Linked DNA regions of Lepisosteus oculatus. The protein of the gene in region 2 binds, or shares a complex with, the protein of the main gene of each other region. Links are inferred from orthologs where the notes say so. Each region holds a gene or a part of one and is shown on either strand. Other genes may lie near its edges.

Evidence for each region.
Region 1: the proteins of vegfc (region 2) and kdr are in contact, whole or in part, in a crystal structure (PDB 2X1W), measured with the Homo sapiens proteins. The link is inferred for Lepisosteus oculatus from reciprocal best matches to the Homo sapiens genes VEGFC and KDR. Residues at the interface, in NP_005420.1 of Homo sapiens: Thr148, Asn149, Phe151, Lys153, Phe186, Ile188, Val190, Pro191, Leu192, Gln194, Pro196; in NP_002244.1 of Homo sapiens: Val135, Tyr137, Ile215, Val216, Val217, Val218, Asn253, Val254, Gly255, Ile256, Asp257, Phe258, Asn274, Arg275, Asp276, Phe288, Leu289, Ser310, Ser311, Gly312.
Region 3: the proteins of vegfc (region 2) and flt4 are in contact, whole or in part, in a crystal structure (PDB 4BSK), measured with the Homo sapiens proteins. The link is inferred for Lepisosteus oculatus from reciprocal best matches to the Homo sapiens genes VEGFC and FLT4. Residues at the interface, in NP_005420.1 of Homo sapiens: Leu119, Asp123, Trp126, Gln130, Asn167, Arg210; in NP_891555.2 of Homo sapiens: Gln172, His199, Asp200, Ala201, Leu202, Tyr203.

What each region holds. Positions count from the first base shown.
Region 1 is NC_090696.1:78,665,685-78,672,618, forward strand, and holds the start of kdr (vascular endothelial growth factor receptor 2), read right to left. Parts: upstream 3,108-6,934; 5' UTR 2,868-3,107; coding exon 2,804-2,867; intron 1,245-2,803; coding exon 1,148-1,244; intron 1-1,147. UniProt on the Homo sapiens protein: Tyrosine-protein kinase that acts as a cell-surface receptor for VEGFA, VEGFC and VEGFD. Plays an essential role in the regulation of angiogenesis, vascular development, vascular permeability, and embryonic hematopoiesis.
Region 2 is NC_090696.1:73,855,853-73,863,636, forward strand, and holds the start of vegfc (vascular endothelial growth factor C), read right to left. Parts: upstream 3,055-7,784; 5' UTR 2,586-3,054; coding exon 2,469-2,585; intron 1-2,468. UniProt on the Homo sapiens protein: Growth factor active in angiogenesis, and endothelial cell growth, stimulating their proliferation and migration and also has effects on the permeability of blood vessels.
Region 3 is NC_090706.1:38,157,536-38,165,584, reverse strand, and holds the start of flt4 (vascular endothelial growth factor receptor 3), read right to left. Parts: upstream 3,070-8,049; 5' UTR 2,723-3,069; coding exon 2,665-2,722; intron 1-2,664. UniProt on the Homo sapiens protein: Tyrosine-protein kinase that acts as a cell-surface receptor for VEGFC and VEGFD, and plays an essential role in adult lymphangiogenesis and in the development of the vascular network and the cardiovascular system during embryonic development.

The DNA.
Region 1 (6,934 bases), about 4.8 Mb from region 2:
ATTCAGCATCGAAATTATAAAGACCAACTTTATTCAAAAATATGATAACTGGTGAATCATTTGTTTTCACTATCAACAGTGACAGTGGTATGTAAACTGCCAACTTAAAATTAACTTCATTATTTTAAAAAAATCACATTATTGTTTTCATAAAACCACAAAACCTAAAAAGGTAAAACCTAAGAAGAACTTTCATAAGCAATTGAAAAGGAACCCTAAAAGGTTCAACTTCATAACTGATGCCTGAAGCACATTTTCATGTTCAATTTGGATGATTAAATAATATTGATGGTAAATTATCCATCCACCCGAATTCTAACCTCTTTCTTGAATTTAGGGTTGCAGGGGAGCCAGAGCCCATTTAAGAAAGCAACTGTGAAAGGTGGGGTACACACTGGACAGGATGCCAGTCCATCACAGTGCACACACAGACACAGATACACACACTCACAACACAGCCAGTTTTCCCAGAAGCCAATTAACTTGCCAGGAAACTGGAGTACTCGGAGGAAACCCATGTGAACATGGAGAGAACATACATATTCCACACAGACAGCACCCCAGGTCTGGAATTGAACCCAGGGACACAGTGATGCAAAGCAGCAATGCTTCGATGAATTATTTGTAATTTATTTATTAATTTTCTCTGTTGATTAATTTAAACTCCAATAATAAGAACTGCATAACTATTTGATAATCAATATTGACATATCTGAAAAGTGTTTTTGGAGTCCAATGATGGATTATTTAATAACTAAGTAATTAAGGATAACCTGAAAAGCATAAAGGAAAATCAACACATGAGAAACAATTCTAAAACTTTAAGGAATTAGTTATTTATCAATGTACCATACGGCAGCATATCATAAAACATAAAATGTGCAGGTGGTTTTTGGATCAGTTAAGTACTCAAACACTAGGCTATCCAAGTCATCCTAACATCAGCAGGATTCAGTGAGTAGAATGTTGCTAGTAAATCTGCAGAGTTAATGGCCATTCTAGAACTTTCCAAGTATTTTGAAATGGATTGAAAAAGTTGATCACACATTTTAAATTAATCAATTTGTTAAATCCAAACATCATGAGAATAATGTATGATACATTTCTTTACATTAAATAGCCATTCTTGGTATAGTCTGTGTCTTACCTGCATGTAAGTTCCAAAGTGTCTGTAGCATTTATTTTGTATACCTTATCTGAGATGCTAAGTTTTGGTGGATCAGGCATATACTTCAAGGTACTTGCTGAAAACAAAAGTGATTATACAACAGGTGCTGTTAGGAATATGAAGAACATTTTAAATTATTTTGCACAGAAAGTGAATGCTACATACAGTAATGAAGCATTACAACATGCAATGTATATTTTAAAGACATTTACTTAAAAAATATACCATTGATAACATTCAACTTTATAAAATCTCACCTAGACTTAAAATTACAAATTTTGTATAATTTGTGTGAAGTTCAGTTCATTGTATTTTTTGTGTAACAGCAAGTCAGAATTCTGTCAAAACAGGAAAAGCAGGCAGATGGCCTCCAGTTAACTCAATGGCTTTATATTTTCTGAAATTAAGGTGGAGTTCCTGTTTTCTGGTGTTGCTGTGAAACAGACCAGGGGAAAGGATATAGTGTATTGAGAAAGGAGACCTTCAACTGATGCTTTTATCCTTAAGGGAATACTTAACATTTCACTGAATACGTTTGCATGTTTTCTGCTGACCTAATATTTCTAGTGTCAGCTTTATTTAATAGTCTATATACTGTGCTACCAATATCATACATTTATATACTATCTAAATAATTGGTATGTACTATCAATTGATATTAATACAAGAGTGCCTTGCAGTCCAGAAGTAGGATTCTAGACAGAAAAAGAAACACTTACTATAGATTTTCAGTTAACAGATAAAGTCATCTGTTTTCATATCAGCTGCTAATAAATTTGGATATTTCGTTTCTACCAAAGCCTGTAGCTGCAAGGTAGTTGCAGCTGAAGGATTAAGAATGTAATCCAAGTGTATTTTAATTTTAAAATTGATCACACATGGAATTTTCCACCAAAAGTAAGAATCAGGGCAGTTTGTCCTGCAAGCTGTTTACTATAAAATGTTTTTTTTTCCCAGGCATAGTAATCACCAACTTCTAGCACAGATAAAACTAAAGAGAAACTCATAGTTACAAGCATACGTCAATGTCTAATACATTTTGCTGTAGTTATTACTTTAAATTATTTTGTTTGTAATAATTACAGTTACAGTAAGCAACAATTATTAAGCAAGTGTGTATCAACCAAATATAACTTTTCATTCAGAAAATGATCAGGACAATAGAGTAAACATAATATATTTTCTGTTGCTGTGTTTTTTATTATAAAAAAATAGGGTTGCCCATTCAGTACGTGACGGTAAGAAAATTGTCTCAAATTCAGTTATTTTGCAGTATTTTCTTTTTTTCCCCTCCATTTATAATAAGCATTTGAACTGTCCAAACTCTACAAGCGAATTTCATTCATAACAATAAGATGTAATAACACATGTAAGAATGTGTTATATATTTGCTGGGTCTTTATAAACCTTCAGTACTTTGTTGTCGTTCTATGCATATATGAACTCCTGCAAAAGGAATTTGACCGTCATTTATTATTTCTATAATTCGTTTTATGACTACAGTACATGCGTTTTCACCAAAGCCCACTTCAGAAAGTTAGCGTGCAATCTAGTATTTGGCTTATGAAGATGACGTAATATTTAATGATTAAACTGTTACTTCACTATATTTAGCAGAAACGAAGGATTTCTTACCTGTCAACCAGTGTGCTTGAAAAACAAATCCCATAAATGTAATGACAATACATGAATATGACATTTCCGAGCACAAATGAGGTGAAATCCCGGCATTAAGATGCAATTACCTTCTGCAAGCAATCATTACACGCATATATTCCAATAATTAACCTGTTTCAGAAATGTAAAACCTTGTCTTTAGTATTGATAAAAAAGGATAAAAAGTATAATATTTTAAGTGTTTCCCGGAATGAGCGTCAGTTCATCCTTTCGAATCTGTGTATTTTCTCTCCCGATTCAGTAATACAGTACATTCAGGACAAGCTGGTGGGCACTGTTAGGGTGGAAATTCCTTTAGGAGGGAGGAGGAGTTTCCTACATTCGCTTGACAACACCCAAATGAGCTCTAACTTCAAATATCCGACTATACTGTAGTATCCGTCACTTTGATGATGAATGGACGGCAGAGTATTCTATCGTGTAAGATGTGTAAAGATGTAAAAAAGGTAGATTCAGAGGGATTTCTCCGAGATAGCTGTCGTTAGTATTGTCCAGCCAGAGGATGTTCAGAAGTGGAAAATGATCTAGAGATTCATTTATCGTTAAACGCCTGATTATTTTTGATACACGAAGTTTCATATGTCAATAACATTGCGATTACAACATACAGAGCCTTCAAGCCACCAGCATAAAGATCTCGAATTGTCAATTTTTTACAACTTTTTGTTTTACAACTCATACCTTCTGTAATTGCATTCTGTTAGTTTATGCAATTGCGCACCGCGTAAAGTTAGCTTGAAGTTCGAAAATGATTTTGGCATGCCTGTAGCGTTTTCACGAAACGTAGTTACGAAAACACTTGCTGTGTGTACAAAGTACATTGTGAATATTTTCACATTTTCACAGCCTTCACTATGTCGTTTTTACGCCATTTTTTTATCACGCACGAATACTCTTACGTCCATATCTTCGCAAGGGAAACACAGAAAGCCTTCAAACCAAACGCATTTTGAAGATCTCTACTTGTGAAACTTTTCACAGCCTCTACATAAAACAATCAGTGAGTTTATTCCTTCTCATAGTTTTTTTTAATCATTTAATAATGGGTGCTCCTACAGTTGAGAGATCTGCATAAAGGACCCAAAGAATCTAAAAGCTTCACAGCTCAAGGGCAAAGTATCCAATCAAAAGGCTTTTTTATTCCTTTTTAGGAACATATTTATAGCAAGCAAATTATGCCTAGGGACATTTTTTTCTGTCTGTATAACTGAAACACACCTTGGAGTACTTTCACAATGGTTTTCTGTTTTAATTAATCCAAACATTTCTGTCTCCAGCATGCCAAAACAATAACGTCTTTAACATCATCCCTGAAGACATGGTCTTCCCCCCTTTGTTTTAATATGACTGGATATAACACAGAATTGCATACATATTTTATCATCAAATCTGTTGCATCTGATTCTATCATTGCAATGGTTGTGCATGCATGTAATAAGGAATACAACAATTAAAAAAAGATTTATCGATAAACACTTCTGTGTTTCCTTTTTGTACTGTATGGTGTTGGATTCCTAGTCCCTAGTTTACAGAACCAATACTCCTGCAGATAAACTTAGTCCTTCCACTGAACTATGCTTTGCTCCTTTCAAATCTATCACTACATTTCCTGCTTGCAAAACCTACCACTGTGACATTGTGCATACCATACCCTCATCAGACCAGGGTTTGCAAAATGTACATGTCCAGGTATCTGAAAAAAGAGCCAGGTATCTGAAAGAAAGGCTTCACATATCAAAGCAAGGTTGTAATGGGTCAGTGGGCATGCCTAGTGTGTAAAACCCTTGGTTACAGTATAATGAGTATGGTTGTGCAAAAGCTATTGACTTGTGAAGAGCACCCCCATCCCCATGTACTGCCTCTCTAATGGTGCCGTATTGAAAAAATCCTAAAAAAAATTCAGAAAAGTTTCACATCCCAAAGCAAGGTTGTATAAGGTGAGGGGACCTTCAAAGTGTGTAAAAGTATTACCTGTAGTGTGATCTTCAAAAAATCATTAAGAAATAAAGAAAAGTTTCACAACCCAAAACAAAGCTGGGAAAGGTCGGAGGATCTGCTTAGTGTGTGAAACACTTAGTTGCAGCTTTGTGGGTGCTGTGGTTTTAATGCTATTGGCTCGTGAACAGCACCCCCTATCCCAGTGCAGGGTGCCACATTCAATAAAACCATGAGAAAAAGAGATTCACAACCCAAAGCTGTGTCAGTCTTCTGTGTAAAAAAAGTCATGGACATTATTATTTGAACATCATGGGTGCTGTTTTTAAAAAGCTGTTGAGTAAAGATTAGGAATTTTCCTGCTGAATGAAAACAGGAAATAAAGAAAGGATTTCAGAAATAAAACAAAGCTTTATTCCTGTGCTTACAGTCTGGGTAATTGGAGACTGTGCAGTTCTGCTTCCTATGGTGATATACAGTACAGGTTTTTCACATGAAACTCTCTAGAGCAGTATTTCTCGGGTTGTGAACGCATGTATACAGCGGTCCCCCAGTGTTCCAGATGGTGCGTAATTGCACATCATTGAAAACCCAGAGTGTCCCTGAGTGTCAGAAAAAAAGAATTAGGTAACTGATATGTTTATGTAGGGGGTGTGAAAAGTTTCACAAGTAGAGGTCTTTAAAATGCAAATAGTTTGAAGGCTTTCTGTGTTTCCCTTGCGAAGATATGAACATAAGAATATTCCTGCATGGTAAAAAAAAATGGCAAACAAAACGACAAAATGAAGACTGTGAAAACATTCAAAGTGTTCTCCCAACTCTAGAAGGTTTTGTGAAAAAGCTACAAGTGTGCCAAAATCGTTTTTGAACTTCAAGCTAACTTTACCCCGGTCTGTTTAGTGTGTAAAACACCTAGTTGGAGTGTCTGATTGTAAAAGAACATCGCCCTATCCCAGTGCATTCCATGGCAAACCGTGACATATCCCCCCCCCCAAAAAAAAAACAACAACAAATGACCAAAATGTTTCACAAAAAATCAAAGTTGCGAAAAGTTAAAGGTCTTGTTTACTGTGGAAAACACTTGGTTTGATTTTTGAATATGGCAAAGTTAAACATGTAATACACTGGGATAGGGAGATATTTTTCCACAGTTAGTAGATTTTTTATAACAGCACCTATTCTCATCCACTTCCACCTGACCAATATCTATATATATAACTGGCTTGCAGATTTTGTTTTCACATCTCTTCCTCCAACCCATCTTCACCCTTGCAGTAGCTCCCTGGATAATCCTTCATGAAAAGGAGGAGGTGGGTCTGAAAGTCCCATCCTTATGGACAGGTTGTCACACTCCTCAACCAGGCAAATTAATAAAAAAACTCACTATTTGAATCATGTCTCTTCTCAACAGTGTTTAGGGTTTTGAGTGAACTACTGAAATGACTAAAAGACAAGGACAAAACAGTAATAACTGTACGTTTTAGTGAATAAGGGAAAGTACATTTTGAGGAAATAACATATTTTTCTCCTTTGATTAGTCATGTCCTTCCTCTTAACTCATCAGAGACCTGCCTTAGAAAAACAAAGGGAGATGGGTGTTGGCTGTAAAGATACACAACACTGTTCAAAATGGGAAAATTCTGTGTTGCTTACTATGAATGAATAAGATCAGTGAGCTGTGTCAGCATGTATTGTAAGCACACCTCAACACTGCTGCTGGCCACTGTCATCTTTGCTAGTGCTGGTGCATGAAGCATGGGTCCAAAATTGCACTGTAAAACAAATAGTTCTTTTTATCAAAATACATTTGAGAATTTAAAACCTTTTAGCTACATAAACACTTAAAATCGACTTAATTAGGCCAAATACTGGTACACCTATATGCACATTGAGGTGTTGAAGATGTCTGCAATATATCCCAATCTGTTTGAGGTAATATGTCTGACAATAATTTAATATTTTTTACACACTGATAAAACATAAATTCTGAATAGATGTTGGCATTTGTCTTAATGTCTTTCAGTATTGTTTATTATAGCCTTTGGTCTGTCTTGACCAGGTATTAATCCAACAGTATTTTCACCTGCATGTATCTGTGATACTGGTTAGGTAGTATATAAAGTATTATATTTGCTATCAAGTAAATAGCATATT
Region 2 (7,784 bases):
CGTAAGAGAACACCCAATTTCATCTAAGCTGTCATTTGTGAACAGAACTCTGGCATGCTTGAATACCTATCTTATAGTACAGATCTGTTTCTAAGAAATTATTATCTGCTTTGAACTCTGAGAGCTCTCCTTCATGGTTTGCAGATGACGAAAGCACAAAGTGTTCCACAGAGGCCTAGTTCAAGGGGTAATATTAAAGGACCCCATTGGTTGGCATATACAGTTTTAAGGACACCTAAGCCAAGTGCATTGAGGTCAAAGGAGACTAAACTGAAAATTGATATGTCTGTGAAACATTTTAGGGCTCTCTGTTCTATGAACTTCTTGACCCAGACTCTCATGATGAGCTCATGTACAATAAAATAAAACAAACTGCCCAGACACCACTCACTCCCATAGCTCTTTCACTGTTACATTTTAGTCTAAGTAGTCTCAGTCTACTAAGATTACAGAAGTCAAAACTGGAGAATGTTTCCTTTTTGCATCATAATACTGTATACCCGTGAGTCAATTCCCCACAAAGAAGTGTAACAGCACTGTTGCTTTTTAAGCATATACTGTACTTTTGGCCTGATGCTTTAATGGATTCTCCTCTGTTATTATTGCATGTATTGCCCTTTGTTGTCTTCTACATCTGTTACTGCCCAGTGCAATGGACACTAAAAACTAAGTTTTGAATGTTAAAACACCAAAAAATACTTACACACTGTTCTAACGAATAACAAAGAAACCCAAATAATGTTTCCTCAATGATCCAGATGAAACCATTCCATAATTAAGTGTACTATACAGTAGAAGCCATCTTTCTAAGATGAGCATGTGCTACTAAATTAAAAAGGCCAAACATTATAAACTTTTACTCCCTTTGATAAATACAGCAAAATCAGTACGACTTCTACTGCACGAAAAAAGTGTCAATAAGTCTCAACCCCTACTGATCAGGCAGGACCTCACTGTAATCTAAGCAGACATCTGCACCATCATGGCGCCCCCTTGTACCACATTGAGTAACTGCTTTATGTTTATCTTCATAAGAGGGCTACAAGAAGCATCATCCTGTTTCCCCTCAAGGATTGTTTTATCCAAGAACTAAGCAGGACTAGCCTTTCACAGATTCAGAGACCTGAAACATAAAGCTAATATATCAATGTACAAGTCTTCAGGGGTTTCTGATAGGAACCAGTTTGATTGCAATGTGGAAAGTTTAATGTACGGTATCTCGAGCAGTAGTGGGTTTATTAGTTCCAGAATTAAGTTCTTAATTCGACCAACTGTATGTTAAAAAGAGTAACTCATACTGTATACTGTCTCCACGCTTTAAGAGGGTAAAAACAACTTGCAAGATTTGGTGCTGCCTACCACTAATTCTGAGATCCCAAACATGATTTGTCCTTAAATCCATCTTGATTTAACATGAGATCTTACACTGCAACCATAAGAAATTCTACATCTGTATTCTGTATTGAGATGGAGGGACAGAAAAGCCAAACTTCTCACAGAATCTCACCATTGACATGCAGTAATATTTAACAACGTGCTGTTGAGGCTCATTCCCTTATCATTTGTCTTAAATTGGCAAAGTTTGGTATGAAGCAGCAATCTAGAAGAGAGCTATTTTTTAAATTGAACTCACAAACCTAAATACGTACAGAAACGCAGTAAAAGTGTGAACAGATGACGACATATACAGTACAGTAAGTAATCGAACAGAAACAGCACCGCATTTTGACTCTGATTAAGCTGCTAAAATGTCTATAATTACTGAGCAATATCTCGAATATTTAAACACAATCTGAGTACGAACATGGGAAAACGTATAGCTTAATATAATTTAAGATATCTTAAAGGAAACTATGATACGCATATCACACTAAACAGCCACATGTCACAAATTCCTTCTTAAGATTTTTTCCCCCAAAACAGCACACCCACGCATTCGAGTTTTGACCTGCTGACACCTGCCTCTCCACCCCTTTTATCCGGCTTCTTCAAAACTTTCGCTGCCTTTCATCGGCTCCCTCTGACTTAACATTGTTACCCGGTGAACACCACACCACGCAAATCCGATCTAGGATGATTTTACAGGTATGAACAGATGCGTTGCTCATTCACAGACTGATGAGACATTTCTCATTAAGAAAAGAGTAATCAGTGTGCATCGTACACCGGATTACCAAAAACAAAACGTTATATAATAATATTCTGAGTATATACAGTAATACCCAGAGTTGTACTTTCACCGCAAATTTGAAGCATCAGGAACATCATGCCACCGAGTGAAGTCTCCGCAAACCAAATGTCGAAATAGTCTACCAGGTGGTAAATACCTTCGTAATCTTTTTAGTCTGTTCCCTTTTTGGCAGTGTTGCAGCATCTGGTAAACTTTCACACACCGAAATTACCATCCGATAATGCTAACGAATGTTTCCACGTTTTGTGGAAAAGGGCAAACTGCAATAAACGCTTACCTTCGTATCTCCTTGATCTTGATCATAGTCGTAATAATCATGACCTGATTCAAAAGCGAAGTCTCTGTAAAGAAACACTGCATAGACGAGAAAAAGAGATAATCCAAGTAGGTGCATTTTACACTATCTCAGCAATCCCGAGACCAAAAGCAGTCGCAATATTTCCTTTCAAAAAGTTTAATCGGTCTTGGTATCTTGTAGTCGCTCAAGCGCAGTTTCAGACTTTCTTCGACCCAAATTAAAATGCATGGGGGTATCCGAGTTTCCTACGGCTGACAATCATTTAAAAATTCAGAAACGCATCAATATCAGTTGACTCGGTGGAATCGCTTGCGAAAAGGAAGGCAAATTTAGGAGGAGATCTTTTCACGTGTTGTCTGGTACGAAACTTGCACAAGACCAGTAGACATCCAGTTTAAGACCCAGAGAGGAGAGAATGGCATGTTTAATGCAATTTAACGGTGGCCCTCTTTCCCTTTCTCCTTCTCCTCCCCCTGGTTTTTCGGATCTGGTCTAGTCGGGATTGCAGCTAGAAGCTGATATGCTAGTATTTATACAAAGCAGGAGGTTTGAGAAAGAAATATGAGTTGGGACACGTGCGCCTTCTCCAGGAGACCTCTTACACAAGCCCCATGCGGTTTCTGAAAATATGAAACGCCGATGCATGTACAGATGTATTTTCAGACAGTTAGAAACTTTGTTCATGTGGATTTTCTAGTAAAACCCCGTTTCAAGAACCAAAGGAATCAAAATATCAATGTCAAGATTGTTTGTCACCATGTGGCTCCTTTAGTTGTTACATGTATTTTTATCAGTGACTGCCCTTAAGCATGTAATAATAATAATAATAATAATAATTATTATTATTATTATTATTATTATTATTATTAGTATTATTATCAACATTATTATAAATAAGCATAATACTAATAATGTGTGTTGTAAATAGTTTATTATATTTTTGTATTATGGGAAATATTGTAACGCACAAATGTGAGCGTTTCTCTACAGCTAAACTGAAATAAATGCTGTCGGAGCTCATTTTTAACAAATGTGAAATTCAAACCATATAGCATCCCACTTTTGATTATTCAGCATAAAACCGTGTCAGCGGGAGGATATTTTTATGAGAAAGGCTAACTGCACAGAAACACGAATTTATTCACTGAAAATCAGTCTGCCTTTTAATAGAAACATATTTGTTTTGTTTAAAAATATCCTTAATTAAAACAGTTAACAGTTTTATTCGCTCCATCTCACCAACAATAGCATAACCATTGTACAACTTTAACTGTGGGACGCTTAGTTGAAAAAAGAGGCTCCACTGTCCAAAATTTCAAGCATTTATCTCCTCATGGTGTGCCTTTTGGTCGCTAATAATAATAATAATAATAATAATAATAATAATAATAATAATAATTATTATTATTATTATTATTATTATTATTATTATTATTATTATTATTATTATTATTATTAGACACAGATGCTCAGCCATTGTTCCAGTGACCCACAGACAAGGAAATAATATAGACAGCTCACACTGTGGGAGGTCTCTACATTTCTGAGATCAATGGCTTGTAGTGGCAGTGTTTTGTAGTATTCCGAAAAAAGACTTCAGTATTCAGAAAAAAGACTTCAGTGTTCAGAAAAAATACTATCCAGTGGTTACACTGATTTGATAAAACTGCAATAAAACGAAAATAACTTATGCTAATTTCTTATTTTTCAAATACGGTTAGTTACCATAGTAAACTTAGTAGAATGCAATGGATGATAAAACATTATCATCTCTTTAATATACTGTACATTACCTCCCCAGGTAACATACTGTACTTTACATGTAGATTCCAATAGCTTCAAAAGCTATCAAAAGAAAAACATTTTTATATATAGACAGAGAGAGAACAAGAAAATGAAGCAATGTAAGTAAGTTATCATCTCTCCTAGATAGCATTTAAGGGAAATATTGATACACCCAAGTACTGCAAGTATTGGTGCTGTAGCTACAGTGTGCGTATCACACAAATAAAAAAAGGGGGGGACAATCAGAAATGAAGAAATGCTATTATCTCATCTGTGACAAGTCACACAGATGGAAAACCCCTAATTTAAATTAGAAAAATAATTAAGTCTCCTGATAACTGACTGTCTTCTCCATCATAAGTTACTAGATATTGAAGAGATACAGGAGGATGGAAATGTAGATTGGAGGCAACACACATATGCATTTACAGGTGATGTGGACTGGATTGATAAACAGATCAACAGAAAGGAATATTAATGCTTAATGTTGTGTTATAATAATACCTAGAGCAGGTGTTCCCACGGCCCGTCCTGGAGATCTCTGTGTCTGCTGCTTTTCATTCCAGCCGAGATCTGCTGATTTAGATTCTCGGTTTCCTGTTTCTGCACCTAGAAATATTCTATGCAAAGTATTATTCCACCAAATTCAATATACAGAACTTAATTCAGCCTTGTTCCCAATGTGTGTATTAAGAAGTGGCTCCCTTTTTTCTGCCGAAACTAGTGATCAATTCACGATGAGCAGACACAGATGGGGAAATTTGAATGTGTCAGACACTCCCTCAGTGAGTGGTTTCTCTTTTGCTGTGGTCTAGTGGGTTAAATATTAGCTGAAAAACCTGAATGAGATAAGTTCTGAAACTCAGAAATTGGTACAGGGTTCATACCAGTCACAGTGACATTTGATTGAAGAGATAAAAGCAAATTATAACATTCCTTGAACTGAAAACTGAAACCAATTAGTTTTCGATTAAAAATTCCTGAAAAAACAGAAGGCCCAGGACCAGAATAGGGAGCCAGAGACCTTGAAGATCTTCAATTGTGATTGCAGAAAGCAATCTTGTTACATTTTCCTTTGGGAAGGTACAGTAAGTTTTAGCCTAAACTGTAGAGATACTGTACATCAAGAATTTCAAACATTTATTAATTAAAAAGTGATTAAAGTGTATGAAAAGTATTGATTATATATAATGTGTAACTGTAAAAAATTATAAAATATGTTTTGTTGCAAAATGTTCAGATTTATTCGTATAACCTTCACATTTCCTGTAAATGTGTTGAAAATAAATGCTGTTAATTTGATTCTCTTATGTGTGCAGCCAATAGCTTCACGAAACCTCAGATATTTCTGGGCTTCTCCTTGATTGTTTCCATGGAAGCTAAACACTGAAGTAAAACTCAGCACCATGTCATCATGGAGAAAGTCAGATATTGTTCAAAGATCAAAGGTAAAAGGTTATGAAGCTCAGTAACTTACAGTATGTGACAGGAAAATCCATAGTCCACTGCAGGAAATCCATCAGACATGCCATTTTCACCTATTGTGTCCATCTTTATACTGTAAAGTTCAAGGCTAATCCACCAAAAGGATGTTTTAAATTGTTATGTGCATTAAAAAGAAGTAGTTTGGGATGCTTACTCCCACCTATAATAAGTAACCATTAGAGATCCTCAAAAAAACTTCTAAATAAAACTTAGATTTTACGGCTTTGAGTAGCATAAAACAACAAAAAATGCATTATGTCAAACAGCTCCAATCTCAAATGAGACCACATGATGTGGTTGGATGAAACACAATTTGACTTTCTGAACAGTTTCATCTAGTATATTAAATAAGAACACCATTCCTTCTGTGAATAATAGACAAGGATCTGTTCTTCTTTTGAGTTGTTTTGAGTCCTCTGGCCCTGGTGTCCTAGATAGAGCTGAGGACTTAAAAAGTTCCCAATGTTTGTGAGAATATTTTAGCTTGCATCATACAACAATAAACAGACCATTACAGGAGCAAGTCTGATAAGGGTAGCCAAAGACAGAAGTTCTCTTAGAACATCCTTCATCTGATAATGAATCGTACTGATGAAGATACAAAGAAAAGTTATTTAAATGATTTCCTGTTTGAAACTACTATTGGACATTTGAGGAGAACTTTAGGGGTTATTTCGGGCACCTCTGAAAAAATAATAATTTATTTCTTGGCTAAATAAACTTTGATTCAAGGTTTTACATTTTCAGACTGACGTTGTGCATGTTTTTTTTTTAGAGGGAATAAATTTAAGCAATTTGGTATTTGTGATAAAATAACACTCCTTTTTGTTAACTCGTCAACTATTATGAATACTTTTGGTATCATGGAAAGCCCTAACATACTCCATTATTCAATAATTGGACTGTAGAAAACATCCACTTACAGTAAAAAATCACACATGATTCTGGTTGGAACACTTGGTTTTCAGGATAGAACTGAATCCACTAGAATATACTATTCTTGAGCTGGTTGTCTGGCGGCCCTCATATTTTTTGGGTCTGTTTTTTTTTAAATTATTATTAAAGCTTTGAAAACCACATTACCTTGTCTTGTTATTATTTTTATTTTTCAATAGAAAAGCTCCCAGCTAGGCTGCCATCCCCTCAGCTAGTCCAGCCACGCCAACTAAGACCTACATACTCCATCCCTCTGCTGCCTTCATTAGGATCTAGCTGCACCACTGAAAAATAATATTCACTCGCAGTGGAAATCTTCACGGGAAACACATGCACGGTACTGCAAAATAATTATGGAAATATAAAATAAGGAATGAAGTGCAAGTTACTGTATACTGAACATACTTGAATCTCACCTCTTGCCCAGCCTTTTTGGCATGTTGGGTTTCTCCCTTGTCTGGCTGTGCAGCTTGGACACTGGACACCTGAGGAGGGTTTAGATCTGGAGCCGGACTGCATGGCGGAGTGTATAAGTACAGGTGATAATGATGCTTCTACTTGCGACCAGGTTGTTAGACATTCCAGTAGATCATCTCTTATCATGTAGATGGACATCCAAGCATGGGGTACTTAAAATCAGTTCTGGGGAGGACTGGCTTTCCGTTCCAACCACCAATACAATTCCAGTTTTGTAAGGCCCCGTCATCGTCTTTCAACCATTCTTACAGTTCCAGGCTTGTAAATCTTGAGGGCAAGATACAAACAAAAGTAGGCCATTTGGCCCCTCTATTCGGTTTTTCTAAGTCACTGTCACTCTTGCTGGCACACACAGACAGGCTGAAATCTGTGACTTGGATAACAAGCTCGGGCTCTTTCTTAGTGCTTGCTGATCACATGACAGCCAGTCACAGCACACTATATCATTACATGACAGCACGATGGCGCATTATAAGTGGGAAGAAATGGGGATCTGCCATTAATACCCAATAGGTTCCTAAGATAGGAATCAGAATCCCTCCAGTCTTTGTGGAGTCGCATGACTTGAACTGACCGTGAAGGAGAGGGGCACCAAAGCCATTCATGAGCAAG
Region 3 (8,049 bases), on a different chromosome or scaffold from region 2:
GGAAATCTCATCATACGAGAATAGCATAACTTATATAACTCATCTTTAACTCATCAAAAAGTTACCATAATCCACAGTCACCCTTGACAATAGCATCAATATAGTGCAAGAATCTACAAGTTTTAATGCTACACTTCACATCTCATATTTCAGTGTTTCGAAGACAAATAGTAAAAATAAAGGCAAGTATTCCAAAATCCATGCAACTTCCTTTCCCAGAGGATCCCATTTAGAAATTGCTGGATATTTTTTGAGAAGAGTGAGGAGACTGTTTTATGTCTTGCCAAATGCCTTGAACAACAAAATCCTTTTTTCAAAAAGGAAGCCAAGCAGCAGAGTTTTTAAGTGAAAAGGGAAAATGTTCTTCTTTCGATGGTAACTCCGCACAAAGACAATAAAAGCTTCAATAATCTTCTTGTAGAGTTGATATAGGCAAATACTAATAAAACAAATATTGTTTTTATGTGTTGTTGTCTTACAAATGTTAGGTTGCTCACAAATTTGCTGAGGTAACTATAGGATACGTCGCATGAGCTCAGTTGCGTTACTTCTATACAAATGACATAAGGCGAATGTCCCTGTATAACATTTAAGTGAATGTAAACTCTGCAAATGAGGCAGAAGCCACCATGTCGTCTTATGACCAGAACAAGGAAACAATATTTGCATTATGTAAAAAACTTAATTAATCCATTGCATCTCCCTAACAAATGAAACCGGTATCATCAAGGATATGGAGACTTCTGGGTAATTTCCACAAAGTAGTCTGACTGTCAGCTTACAAGGTATAAGCGATACTCAGTTATTAAAAAAACAAGAGTAAAACATAGGATTCGATTTCCATCTGAATGAGTGAGTGGCCTATTTAAAATGCGTGGCTGTTCTCTTTCAACTTTGACAGGTTTCACCGTTCAAAACCAATCAACTTGAGGAAAGCATACAATGCACTTATTAAAACTGTGATACAACACATCCTGTGCTTGTGAAATTCTTTGGCCGCACGTGAAAACTTCTCCAAACTCTCATCTATTATTCATCCACTGAGACTGCGCTGCGCTGTCTAAAATTACTCGGACTCGGTTTTGCAACTGCTCTGAAACGTCTGCCAGTTCGTACATGGAGCCATTTCACAAGTCATTGTAAACACTTTGATTAAACTAAAAATACGTAAAATGCAGGTTTCAAGTGGAGCGGCCTTGTTATTGTCATGAGACAAAAATACATTTTGAACCAAAAATGTAAAAGTCTTTGGATTACACTACATCACATCTAAATGAGGAGCATGGGGATTTGTATACCATGTAGTTTCACATCATACTCAAAGTTTTGTAGCATCTGAAAATGAAAATCCCGTTATAAGCATCCCTCAGGTCGGATGCTATAGAAGTTGCTGTGGCCTGACGGTATGACAACATAGGGTCTCCCCCTAGCGGTTGGTAATACTACTGCATGTGAAATTGTAAGGCGTTGTCTGCGTTCTCTGATCAATTAATCGTTTTCCTTGGATCATCAAGGTAGTGGCGCGGATCCCAGATACTGTCACTTCAGCTGATATTTAAGTTACTCCTCCTGTACTCTTTTGGAGATGAATAGCTGCAGCTCCGTATTATTAATGTAACTGTCGGATCATTAACCTACACTTATGTAGCTATTATTTTTTTCATGATATATCATTGTAACACTATCAGTTTAGTGAATAATATACTTTTTGAGAACTGTTCAAAAACGAATAGTCTGACACAATTGAAAGTTATTCTTTCGTACTATTTCATACAGTAACGTTACGCATCATCACAGAAGATTCTCTTCTGTCGCAGAGATTTTAAAGACGTTTCAACTCTACAGTAGTATTCCTCCTCTATAATTATTTTTGTAATCGGAATGTTCAGAGTTTTTAACGCTTATCCTCGTTGTTTATTTTTACTTAAACCTGCGACTTTCGATAATTTTACATTATTTAGTAAACCGTAATGTACTGTTACAAAGGCCCACGAAAACAGCTCGTATTTCTGACGCGAACAACCTGTTTCAACCTGTCAAATACATTCCGTGCAAAATGTAGCGTAATCGAGGGCTGTTTACTACGCGAAATATGGGAAAATACCTTTACAAGCATCACTTTATTTGCGGAGACAGGTCTGTTAGTTCCATAAGCCTATTGAATTTATATCGAGTGAATAAGTGAATTCCATTCATAGCCAAAGAAATTAGTTATATGAACAGTTTCAATATTGATTGATTTGAAAAAAAAATGTATAGAGTTCCGAAATATTAATTACGATTCTTTCTTTGTATTTCACGTGTATTAGGGAAGAGACCTATTTATGACTTGGACCCATCATAATTGCCGGTCTGTTCCATTAACCAACCAAACCACAACAAAGCTCCCGAAGATACAACATCTACCTTATATTCAATTTATACATAGAATAAATGAATGAGATTATAAATCCCACACATACACAAAGTCGACAGCTTTCTTTGGCAGGGCTTCTGTGCATTTTCTTTGAAAACTAACTTGTGCATTGCAAACACATTTTCTCTCACATCCCTGTAAAAAAAAACTTCGACAGTTGGTATAATAACAGATTAATTATAACGCAGAAACAGCTGAAAGTTTAGGGTGTTACAAATGAGGAATGACCGAAAAGAGGGTACTCCTACCTGATACACAAGCGATCCCAATCCAAATCCGGCAGAAAATAGTAAAATCTCTCTTCATTTCCAGATTTCCAGTCCTCGGATGTTTAGATCTAACGAATTAAAAAATAAAAACCCAGTTGTTCCTTTTTTATCTGTGAAATCAAAAAGGAGAAAGGGGTGAGAGAGAAGTCTCTGTCCGCGGTCACAGCAAGTCTCAGGTGAGCTTCAGCAAAGCTGCTCTGTCCTCACTGCGCGACAGGGAGGATGTCTAAAAAGTCAGGGAAGAGAAAAGGCGCTTTTCCTGTTAAAAGGAAATGTTTTTTTTAAAGATCAGAATGGATTTACAATGATTTCCTTTTCCCCCTTCTTTTAGCGCTCGCGACTGAGGCACCACATCCACCGTTAACTTTCACAAAAATACAGAAATGGTTTTGGCGACTGTTCTCCATGATAAACCCCCTCCTCACTTCAGTAAAAAGCGAAAATCCCTCCTCCACTCTGTAACACCAGCGCCAACATAACAACGAAGAAGACAAGTGTCCGAATAATTCTGATGTACATTTAATTGTTCTAGCATCTGACATCTGGAAAAATAAAACTTTCAAGTATTGTTTTCTCTGTGTTAGGAGAAAACAGTCAAACGTTTGAGACAGAAAACTGTTAAACTCTTTAGGAAGTTAAATCGAGTATACCTCCGTGTCTTTAAATGATCTTTACGCTTCAATCTGTTTAAAACCAATTGGAATGAAACATCGGTGATAAGAGTGATAAAGCTGAAGAAAACGTTTCTAAAAGAACAATTTCAAATACCTCATGAAGGAAAATCAACACTGTAAATTGTGCTTTGGTGTTTTTGTACTACGGCAGGTCTCCCACGAAACATCACCTACTAATTTCTTTTGAACCGCTTACAGAAATTAACCCCGCTATGCCGACTCCCATACCTCAGTGTGTTTTACTTTGGTTTGCCAGTGAGCATACGACCAATGCCTAGAGTACAGAATTTTCCAAAATAGTATTTTCTTTATATCATTGTTATATCTCATCTCCTTCTTCTAGTCAGAGCTTTGAGATTTTTAAAATGTGCTTATAAACAAAGTATAGTGTAACGCAACGGGGGCTCAGGCGGGCGCCCTTGCCGCATTAGGTCGGCCCCTGCACCGTCCGGGGCTCGAACCCGGGACTTCCGCGTCTCTCTGCAGCGACCTAGCCCCGTGAGCTAAAGAGAGATCTCTCCACAGCCCAGTAGCTGTGGTCCTGCTATCACAGGGAAGGGCAGTGACGTCACCCGCTCTGGTACGCCGGCTCTTACACAGTGCCTGTCGGCCGTAAGCGTTACACTCTGGTGTCAGAAGTGGGATGGGATAGCCCTTCGCCGGGGACGGCGATTTAAGCGGGGGAGAGTGTAACGCTTACGGCCGACAGGCACTGTGTAAGAGCCGGCGTACCAGAGCGGGTGACGTCACCGCCCTTCCCTGTGATAGCAGGACCACAGCTACTGGGCTGTGGAGAGATCTCTCTTTAGCTCACGGGGCTAGGTCGCTGCAGAGAGACGCGGAAGTCCCGGGTTCGAGCCCCGGACGGTGCAGGGGCCGACCTAATGCGGCAAGGGCGCCCGCCTGAGCCCCCGTTGCGTTACAATAGTATTCGCAACATATCTCCTACAAGAAAATGTAGCCACAAATGAAAAAAAATGCAGTCCTTGCCCCTGTCATTAGATCACAAACACCACAGCTACAAATAAGCGATACCAGTTGGAAAAAAAGCGAGGAGATTATTCAGATTCATGCAATATATCAGCATTCAAATTAAATTAACATCTACCAAGGCTTTGTAATGACATACACCACAGAACATGTTGCGTGAACTGGCTTTTAATATCGATTTGGCTGATGCTTTTATAAGACGCACTTTGCAGTTGGAATCACTGACAGAGTTGGCCATTTTGACAGACCAATTCAAGGTAAGTGTCTTGCTCAAGGGTGCAACAGCAGTATCCCACCTGAGGTCCAAACCAACAACCTCCCAGTGACAAGTCCAGAACCCTGACCGCTGCTCCACACCACAGACTCCATGGGCTTTGATATCTGAGCACAATGTTTCCTTTTCGACTATTTAGGCCTTAAACAATATCGTAAAAACCTGCAAAACTTAAGGCACAGTAAGCTTGTACTCCAAACCAGACAGGAAAATCCTGAATATTAGATGGACTAAGGAAATGTCTAAATTTTATCAGTACCGCCATTGCCCTGCATACGTTCCTGATTGCTGCACCCCTGCTTAGCAATTTTTAATGGTTGTGATCCCCATTCACAAACCTTTGGTGGTGTGGGAGAGTATGTAAGGGGAAAAACAAACCAATACAAGTACTAAGTGTGAAGCATCGCCTTCATGTGCTTCACAGACATTTGTATAAATCCTAAAGATACAAGAATGATGCAAGTGATTAACTCTTCCTAAGGGAAAGTCACTACAGATGTGCATTTACATTTTTAATTACTGAGAAACAGGGATAAAATCTGGTATTCAGTTCCACCGTATGTTGTACATTTGCAACAAGTGATGTAAAGAGATGTTCAGTATTTTTCTACTCTCAAGCCCCATCTTCATAGACTGCAAAAGCCATCAGAATTAAAACCATGTGCTCCCTACAGACTCATATTAAGTAAGTCCTTTGTGAATTCATATCACTCTGAATTTATACTAAAAAAATAATAGAGGCTGGGTAATCAAAAGCCACCGGGAAGAAAAAAATGCTTAACTTTGGATATTTTCAAAGCTCCATTTCAGGAATTTGACAATCGGCACCCCACTAAGTTATCGCAAAGCTCTGTATCATGTTTTCCCAGAGAAGACTCCCTGTGCTTGTGTTTTATTTGGCCATGGCATCATCTATCAATAAAGCTGTTATTGTGGGCAGAGCATTCTATAGCATGGTCCTGCTGAGAACTCTTCTTCATGAGCCCACATTCAGCACAGGCAGAGGAACTCCAGCCTAATGCATTACCTTAAATTGATTCCTCCTGAAGAACTCCAAATCTCTTCACACAGAGTTCATTGTTATCTTTGTACTGTTTATATCAACAGCTGTCACAAAGCTATTACAAAACCTGAAATATTCTGATACTCCCCACCTTGGAAATAGCCTCAGGACTGAATATTGAATGACAGAGTGCTGAAGTTTGTGTGCATTGCTCAGTGGCATCAAAAACTAAGAATGTGTGTGGAGGTTCCCAAAAGGTTGATTAAGTGCACCCTTCACAATATAGAAATAGCCACTGGAGTTAACAAAAAGAGACATGTTAGTTATCAACAAGTCTTGTGAGGACATGACATCTGCTTAAGATGAGAGAGATCTGAACAATGCCATTGAGCCCTGAAAGGAAGTTACATTGTGCAAAGAAAGTGCATTCTTCAGCAGGAATGTAAAGAAAAATATTGAAATAAGAATGTTTTTCTATTATTTTAAGCAGTGAGGAATATTTTACATTGCGCCTCAAGGCACCCATACCTCAGACCTTCCACACAATGTTTGCATTGAACAGTTGTAATTAAAAATTGTTCCTTTGGATTTCAGGTCCACAACTCTTGGCAAGGATCCTTGACAATAAAAGGCATTCCTTTCTGGCAAGTTAACCCCCTGTTCAAGACTCGCGATTGCTAGCATGCTGACATCTTCACTGAGTACATAAATGCCTGGCCAGACCCTGCTGATTCAACCCAGACAGAGCCAGAGGTTGCTGAAGATCACAGAGTGACCCCAGAGCTCATACATCAACTTTTATGTATAAAATGTCCCTGTGATTCAAACCAATTGTAAACGTGAAGATGTCAGTTAAAGGGATTACAAACAGCCCAGCACTCTATAAAGATCAACTGTCTAATACAAAATGGAAGGAAGAGTGTTAATGAAGGTCATCTCCTCTTACCTCTCAAATGGATTCCAAACAAGACAGCAGCCTGAGACGCTCTTCAATGCATGAAAAGCACAAAACTCCCTCACAGTACTCATCTACCACCTCCAAACGAAAAACAAGACTCATTTTCAGCCATTCAGAAATTAATAATATTTTTCAAGGTTTGAAAAGAGAGGGGTACAAACTTGTGTGGGACCGGTCCTTTGTTTAAAACTCTAATCACATTTTTTTGTCTCTGTGGTGTGGAATTTCTGAATTCGGCATCAGCTGAACATTGCCTTTTAACTGACAGTCTGAGAACAGAAGAATGCATATCTGAATAATGGAATGGCTTACCCTTGCAAGCAAAGTATATAAAGTATATATGTATAACTGGAACTAATAATTTGATTAACTCGGAATTTTTCATTGTTTATAGCTTAAACGGTGTTGTATATTTTAAACTGTCAAGTTTTGTAAGCGCCCTGAAATCTATTCTCTTTATGGAAAATGAAAGCATTAGACGTCAAATACTGCTATGCATATTCATGTCGTGCTCAGACTTTTGTGGTTACTTTCCCTAAGTAGGTCTGTGTCCCGAGCAATGATACACAGATTGTTGTCACAATCTGATTTAACAGGACAAGGCAACAGGTAATGGTCATGGTATCCTGGAGCTTTTCCTGCAATCACAGGGTACAAAGCACCAGCACATCCTGGATGAGATGCCCGTTCATGTCATGTGCATACAAACATGCCCAGGAGTAATTTAGAGACATCACTTAATTTAACAGGACCACTGGGTAACAGATCGAGTTGTTTTATGAGGTCAAAACACAGAAAATTTGCAAGACTGATCAAAACCAAAGCAGAAGGGAATAGATAATATATTGATGGTATTCTTCTGCTGTGAACAGTAACATACCTTTGAGCACAGCACAAAAAATAACTGATTGACAAAGGGCAGAAATGCCCCTGAGGAAGATGCTGTTTTTTGGCAAAATGATAACTGGGACTCGCCATCACGCAGAGCATTTCATTGCTGTTCCACAATCAAGTGAACAACAGAGAAAAGAAAAATCAGCAGGGAATGCCAATTAATGCGTATCAGTTTCCAGATAAAAGAGCTTCGGCACAGGACCGTAACTCCTGCGACACTTTTAAAGATAGAGGCTCCATCCTGGGCAGCGTGTCTGACTGGGGCTCGGTAATGTGTTTCCTGACCCTGGGACCTCATGAATGGAAAGAACTGGTTTCAAGGCTCTGTCCTTGAGTGGACACCCTGGGGGGGACTCTTGAGAAGGAAATTGTAGCCTTTCAAGTGCCAGCTAGGAGAAAATAATAATAATAATAATGAAAGAAAAAAATCTTGCTTCCTTTTACAATTTTTTTCACCCCTAATTGCCAAGTGGATGTCCTAATGTTGTATGATATCTTCCGCAAGAGAGCATCCCATTTCCTCAGTGACGAACAGGAGGCAGTCACACCTGGCTGGACACTGTGGCACTGG